2 separate regions of the Mus musculus genome follow, and region 2 is reported to be linked to region 1. The links are microRNA targets in miRTarBase. Many come from high-throughput screens and were not tested one by one. Region 1 holds a microRNA gene; the other region holds the end of a gene's coding sequence.
What was found. Region 1 holds the annotated microRNA mmu-miR-339-5p (UCCCUGUCCUCCAGGAGCUCACG, at 1,407-1,429, shown strand). A microRNA usually pairs through its seed, bases 2 to 8, with sites in the 3' UTR of a target mRNA and lowers its output. Matches are read on the target gene's strand: a 7mer-m8 pairs with bases 2 to 8, a 7mer-A1 pairs with bases 2 to 7 and ends in A, and an 8mer does both.

Region 2: the mRNA of Tasor is a reported target of mmu-miR-339-5p. Seed matches in the 3' UTR shown: 7mer-A1 at 1,173-1,179 and 7mer-m8 at 596-602.

Annotation. Positions count from the first base shown.
Region 1 is chr5:139,366,656-139,371,136 of GRCm38, reverse strand. Mir339 (microRNA 339) reads left to right here and starts at 1,392; the gene lies at 1,392-1,487. All of the region lies in intron 2 of 3110082I17Rik (RIKEN cDNA 3110082I17 gene), which reads left to right.
Region 2 is chr14:27,480,983-27,483,982 of GRCm38, reverse strand. Tasor (transcription activation suppressor) reads right to left here. Exons shown (of 24, transcript NM_001114879.2): 24 at 428-3,000. The coding sequence ends at 2,586. It overlaps Ccdc66 (coiled-coil domain containing 66), which reads left to right. Exons shown (of 18, transcript NM_177111.3): 17 at 51-175; 18 at 1,381-1,582. The coding sequence ends at 1,467. Among named protein-coding and RNA genes, the nearest start is that of Ccdc66, 26 kb to the left of the region's middle.

The DNA.
Region 1 (4,481 bases):
TTCCTTGGCCACAGCAAGAAAGCTTCCATGACCTTAATGTCACTTGGGGGTCCACTAGGCAGTTTGGGATGTGTGAACACAGCTGCTCTACCAGAGGAAGCCAAAATCAAAAGCATTTTGATTACCGGCACACTCAAATAGAATTGGGAGTGGGGCACGTGGAAACCAGGCTAGAACAAGCATCCCTGGGTGGTGGGCATGCCGGGAAGCTCTAGAGAAGGGGATGTGGGTACCTGGCCCTGGCTAGAAAGAAGGCCTCCAGCTAGGGCGAAGGAGGCAGACTGCAGCTGAAATGAGACTGAGTCTCGCTCGGCTCAGGGACGCAGCGCAGGCTCTGCACAGTACACAGGTTCTTGTGTCAGCAGGCTTTTCCTGGCCTGGGAATGCTCAGTTATAGATGCAAGCCCCTCCCTCTCCTTCACTTCAGGGTCTCCTACTGCAGGGGTCTGATTAGAGACCTCCCCATCTCCCCCGCTGCAGGGCCCTCTTCCCTGCCTGTTGGCTGCTTTCTGCCATTTCTGAGTAGACCTAGGTGGGAGCTTGTTGTGTGTGTCGCCCTCACGCCCGTGATTCAGGTGGCAGGGGCTGACTCTGTCCTTGCTCTTGGACCAGGAGCTTCACTGATGGCCGAGTTGGGCTTCCCACTTAAACTTGTGCCAGAGCTGCTGGGACCAGTTCCTGTGATCTGCAGGCAAAGGGACGGAAGTTTTATCTTCTGGAGCCAGCCCCTCAGCCTAGTCAAGGAAATCTGCACCCTGTTCAAGCTCCTGGGGTCTGTCTGCTCCTGTGTTGGAACTGGGGACATGTGAGATAGCAGTGGGAGAGGTTAGACCTAGAAAACCCATGGGACCTTCATAACCTTGTTGGTGGGGCCAGTCAGCCTGAGTCAGGTGAGCTGAGGCCAGAGAGCCAAGAAAACCGATGTATAGTCGGGGACTCACAGCCTAGAGGCCTTGTGGTCTGTGCTGGAGTCTGTGAGAAAGTTAATTCTCTGGGCAGCCTGAGGTCAAGACTTAGGCTTTAGCCTGTGTTTAACCCCCAAGTAAGTGACACAGGGTGTTTCTGCCGTGACTGCAGAAGGACCTGTGGCCTGGACAGAGCCTGGGCTTGGTGGCGGTGACAACATCACCTCTGGGGATTCGTGTGTCCTGTGGCAGCTGGTGATGGCCCAGTCTCCTGTTTCTCAGGGATACATCAGATCTGCTGCTCACTTCCGCCATTCAGGTCACTGAGGAGGCAGGGTGCCGCATCTGTCATCTTTGTCTTTTTCAAGCATGGGGCTTAAGTGACATTTTGTGCATTTGAAAAGTCATATCTAGAAGGGGATCCCTAGGTGGGTGTGACCCTTGCCTTGGCACCAAGGTGGTGAGAGCACAGCTGTGCAGAGCTGGACGGGGTGGCCACTATCCCTGTCCTCCAGGAGCTCACGTATGCCTGCCTGTGAGCGCCTCGGCGACAGAGCCGGTGTCCACCCCTGCACTGTCCACAGACCCTTGCCTGCAGACCAGGGTGCTCAGTCGCTGGCTGTTCATGCTGTACCTTCTTGAACTCGATTGTGCAGATCTGCAGGTTGTTCCGTGGATGGAGGGGACTCTGGTTTCTCTGTGCGGTGACGCAAGGCACTGACCCCTCTGGGGTCCTAATCATCTTAACCTACGCAGACACTGAGGGGGAGGGGAGAGGAGCCAGGAGGGAGCCTTCCAGGTCTCTCCCTCTGTGTGTGTCCTCTGTAGCACCAGTTGATTCTACTGCGTGTGACCTATGTCCTGGCAGTTGGTGTCCCTGGGTCACTTCTACATCCACTGTGTTTCAGTAATTACCTCCAAATAAAAAGCTTCCTTTAAAACAAACTCTCTCCCCTCTCTTCATTATGTTGTTGTGCTTTTGCTTTGTCTTCTGGAAATCTTGCTACCGAGTGAGTGCATAGCCGGGCAGCAGTCTGCTGAGGTCTGTGAACCGGAATGGGCTCTCAAGGTCGAACACCTCTGTGGGACCCTGGACTCGGGCTGGCTCCAACTGAATGGAGGAGGGCTGATTCTGGGCTGGGGAATGAGAACAGAGTCCACTGGCCTTGGCACCCAGCTCGTCAGCCTCAGCAGGCTTCGTGGTCTCCCCCCACAAACATCGCTGTCACTTGTAGGCCATTCCCAATGTCTGGGGAACAGGTATAGGGGTGGTAGGGACCAGAGACCATGCCCCAGCCTTGGAGGCACCACCTGGGTATGTGATAGACAGGCCAGGTGCTGGGCTCCATCGACCATCTGCTGTGCCCTTGGGACTCTGTCCTGTGTGAAGCGGGTCAAATGACTGGATTCCCTGCCACTCAGCTGCGCCCCCAGTACAGCTGCTCTGGTCACATGATGGGGTGGGGACAACAGAGGGTCCTTCTACCCTCACCTGTGTTCATCCTTACACCTGACTCAGTCATTCCAAGAAAGAAGGTCCTACAGAGCTGTGTGTCTGGCACTGGCTACCAGGGCCTCTACTGCCAAGGTCTACAACTAACCTTTGAGGGGTTTTTGTTTATGTTTGAGACAGACTTGCTAAGCTCAAGCTAGCCTTGGACTTTCAATCCTCAGGACATATTCACCAACCTCCTCCACAATTCCAAGAACGTTTGAACAAGATGTTTTTGAGCCCAGTGGATGCTCAAAAACGCTGGGCATTGACTGCCTCCCCAGGACAGCACAAATCCCTATTAAGAGAATATCCCCAGTCATACTGCCCCAGCACAGGTGATGCCCTGGCCAGGGCCAGCAGCTCCTTCTAGCTGTGTGGAGAAGGAGAACATCTCTCTGCCCTGTGAACTTCATTGGGGAAGGACAGTGGGCCCTTGCCCTTCCTCCTACACAGAAGGCCTCTTTTACCCCCATGGGACCCAAGGGAGGGGCAGTGGTGGGGTGCTTGAAGCTGCGGTTTGCTGCAGCACCCACCTTTGTGTGCCTCCTCAGCGCCTGAGGCTTCAAAAACAGTAAGGTTCAACCAGGGCTTCCTGATTAAACCTGGGGAACAAACAAGAGAAGCAGGCCCACGCAGTTGCCCTGGTTCAAGGTTGGTCCTGGGTTTACACACAGCCTGGTGAGGGCAAGGGAGAAAGTGCCGCCTGGAGTCTTTGAGCTGGCAGAAAACACCCACTCACCAGGATGCCCCTGCTTACAGATGGTAGAGTTAAGCCTCCTCACCAGCAACAGGCACAAGCAGGCCAGACTCCCCTTACCAGTGTGGCTCAGAATGCCTGGCCAGGACTCTTCTCAACATCCAGAACTCAGGGAGCCTGAGGCAAGATTGCCCCTAAGGGGACGCTAGCTAGCCTGGGCTTTATAATTCCAGGTCAGCTTACCAGCTAACCTACACACACACACACACACACAGGCTGTGCCCTGTCATGGACACCAGGCAGTCTTGAATTTAGCTACCAAGGCTGTTGGGAGATGGTCCAGTTTTCTTCTCAATCTCCAGAGTCACCCAGCAAGCCTTGCCTGTTAGCATGGGACAGAGGCTGCCTGCTCCGCCAGCCCTGGATCAGTGCAAACCATGAGTGGTGATGGAGATGTGGGTGGAGGAACCCTCAGGGTGTGCCATTTGGGAGACTGCTGATGCTGCACTGGCCCCAAAGTGTCAGCCTTCCTTGGCTTTGGTAGGGACAGCAAAGAGCTGAGCCCACCATCCATACAAGGACCCTCCGTGGGTGCAGCATTCGCTCAGGCCAGTGTGCATGTTTTATATGCATGCCTGAATGAGCATTACATATGTACCCAGAGTTCAGAAGAGGACTTTGGGCCCTCTGGAGCTACAATTACAAATGATTGAGAGCTACCATGTGGGTGCTGAGAACCAAACCCAGGTCCTCTGTAAGAGCAACAAGTGCTCTAACCCACCGAGCCATCTCCACCCAGCATGTGTGTGCCACACCCTACCTCTCTTTTAAAAAAGAGCTGGAAAAGAGGGCAGCTCTAATCCCGGGACTCCAGAGGCTACAGAGACAGGAGAAGTGCCAGCCTGGGCCACGTACCAAGTTCCTCTTTGAAAACCAGGGGGCTGGAAAGATGGGGGTCTCAGTTTAGAGCACTTGTCCCTCTTCCAGAGGATCCAGTCTCAACACCAGTACCCATGTGACCAAACCATCCCGTTCTCCAATAACTCCAGTTTCAGGGGACCTGACACCCACTTCTGACATCAGAGGGTACCAGGCACACACATGCGTGTACATATATGTGGGCAGAACATCTATGCACATAAGTAAATATTTTAAAAAGTAACAACAACAACGACAAAAAAGAAACAGGAGGTGGAGAGACGGCTGTCAGTCCAGCGCTTGCCCGACAAGCAGGAGGACCGGGGTCAGATCCCATGAGAGCCCCCTGAAAGCTGACTGTGGCGGTGTGTGTTTGGAATCCCACCGCCAATACGCGGTACTAGGATGGGCAAGTGTTCCACGTTGCCTGGGTTATGCAATGCTGGGGCTAGAAGCCAGTGTCTGC
Region 2 (3,000 bases), not on the chromosome of region 1:
TAAGTCCTAAGTAATTTATTTGACTATTGTAAAATTTATCTATCCTTCAGATTGTGCCCGAGAACAAGAGCTATTTGACTCTGACCATATCAGGGATCCACTTCTTAATCCTAAATTAGTGAAAAACAGGGACCGACAGCAAGCTATCCTTAAGGGGCTTTCAGAACTAAGACAGGTATGCACTCTTCACCAAGTAACTGTTTTTAGATGTTTGTTCTCTTTATATGGTGGCAGTGTTTGCACCCCAGTTTATAACAGTTATGTTTTCAATTCCTATATATTAACCTTGAACAGAAATCAAAAGAACCTTTTTCCTTGAATTTGCTCTCAAATTACCATTTTCACCTGCATAATCAACATTTGGGAAGCAGGAGGATCCTAGTCCAGGCTGCATATAGTAGTTCTGAGAATCAAAGTCCCGAGACAGTTTGCATATTAAGACAACTTTTATTTAAAAATATGTACATATGCCAGGCGGTGGTGGCGCACACCTTTAATCCCAGCACTTGGGAGGCAGAGGCAGGTGGATTTCTGAGTTCGAGGCCAGCCTGATCTACAAAGTGAGTTCCAGGACAGCCAGGGCTACACAGAGAAACCCTGTCTCAAAAACCAACCAAACAAACAAAAAAGTACATTTAAAACATCAAAACACAATAAAGTGCTAAAACCAAGAAACAAATATACAATTATGCTTTAATGAATTTTAACCAATATGGTCCATTTTTTAAAGTTAAGAACAGAATATATCTGTTCAAAGAATGAAATTATACATTTTTACTACCTTTTACACAGGCAAAAATAAACCCTGCTAATGTGCTGAAACCTATCCTGAGGCTATTACACTGTATTTGGCCTGTGTGGTGCTTACCCTCTGCTCAGACACCATTTACCTGTGTCCTTTAAGAGCTTACATATAGCTAGCTTGAGCTCAGGACTCAACCTGGGTGAACAAAGGAGCAAGAGAAGGAAGGACTGGGATGTTCGTGCTTCACCTCACCCTTATTCGTGCTGTTCAGCAGAGCTGAGAGCAATACTGGGAATGGTAAGACTCTGACTGTGTCTTCTCATGATCTTAGAGCACTTGAGAGTAGATTTCACTTTAGAAATCCAATAGTGGTAAACAAAAAACAAAAAACAAAAAAAAGAAAAGAAAAACAAACAAACAAAAACTATCCCTGTTGTTCTCATAGTAGAAAATGTTCTAGCTAGACAACACCCAAATTACAAGAATTACTTAAAAAAAAAAAAAGAAACTTAAGCTATGTCTAATAACAATTCTATCCTGAGAGTTCAATGATATTTTGTATCATGTATTTTTGAAAGAGAAAAAAATATTTAAGTTGGTTATATACCTTCACTAAAATATCAATGTGATTGCAGGGTCTTCTCCAGAAACAAAAGGAGTTGGAAACGAATCTCATACCCTTAACTGCAAACCAAGAAGATAATTTTAGTTCTTCGTTTTAAATATGCTTACCACGCAACAGCATTTTTCAAGCACACAATGACAAACTTTACATTATGTAGTGAAATGATGTATTTTCTAAGTACAATAAAAAAGTTTATAGTTCAAAAAAAAAAATCTCTTGTCATGTTAGGGTATAAAAGTACTTTCTACTTACCAGGGTAGAATCTGGAGATTCCTGACCTGCTAACAGCATTGCTCATTTGTTCTATTAAAAGTTCTTTTAGGGCATAAAAAGTACTATTAACACAAGGATAGACTCTTAATAATACAAATTCATTTCACTCTGGTTTTTCTCTTCTGTAAATTTGGTTTTCATCATATTAAGTGGAGATTCTAGTTTTCACACTTTGAAGTTAACATTAGTAACAGTAGGCAAGAGATGAGGGTTTAAAAATTTATCTCCACATTTAGTGTAACACCAAGTTCGAATTAAAACTTCAAGATCTGTTCCAAATTCTCCAATAGTATTGAAAGCAGAAGCTCCACTTTTAAAAGTTCATTTAACTAAAGGATCACACAAAATATTATTTATCAAAGAGATCTCAAAAAGTTAACCAAAATTTAAATGAAGCAAATGTTTTCACAGCTAAACCTAAAGACTGAGAAAATTCTACTTGGTATTCTATACAATAGATTCACTACCTAGAATTCAACTGTACTGTTAAATATAGCTTGAGGTACTAAGCCAAAATCCTATAAATATTTACACTGCTGGCTTATACCTGTGTAAAAACACTATACAAAAGCTTTAATCAAAATAAATAGTTGACATTTCAGCAAAATTAGTTATCATCTGACATTAAAGAACGTCATTACTATTTACCATTCTTTTATAAACATGAAATTTTACATATAAAACAGACTTCAATTTGAAGCCCAAGTACAGGTAACAAATGTAAAACTGAAAGGTGCTAACATGAGATAATCTGATTACAATATGTCAAAAAATTATTTCAAATTTTCAGATGCTTCAATGTTATATAGGCCATCATGATTTAAATAAACAGGAAAGGAAAAAAAATTCAGAAAGGCCAAGAAACTTGTTTATAAATCATCAATACAAAGTCCACCACAACCTATTTTTTTTAATCACTGTAATTTCTCCTTGAACACATCCTTAACTTAATGGAGATTTCTCTGTACCCGAGTTTTTGTAAGCAGATAAAAAGTAATTTTCATTTTCTTGAGACCGAGTTGATGAAAGGGCATATGGTGTCCCCAGAAACGTCTGGTGCGTGAGAACATTAAAATGACTACACTGATGGGACATTTGTAACTGATTTTGGTCAGCCTGAAAGTCGCTATACGCATCCTGTTCTGCTGAATTGCTGCTCTCTCCTTCAGAGCATACTCTATCAATAGGAGCGCTCGCTTCACAATCAATTAAATAAGTCTTATCTTCTAATAAACTGTTTTGCACATCAAGAGATGACTGCAATTCAATTTGGATATTCTTTTTTTGATCTGTTCCACTTGATCCTTTGGTTTCTCCCGCCAATATTTCTGAATGAACATTGCTGAATACTTCTATA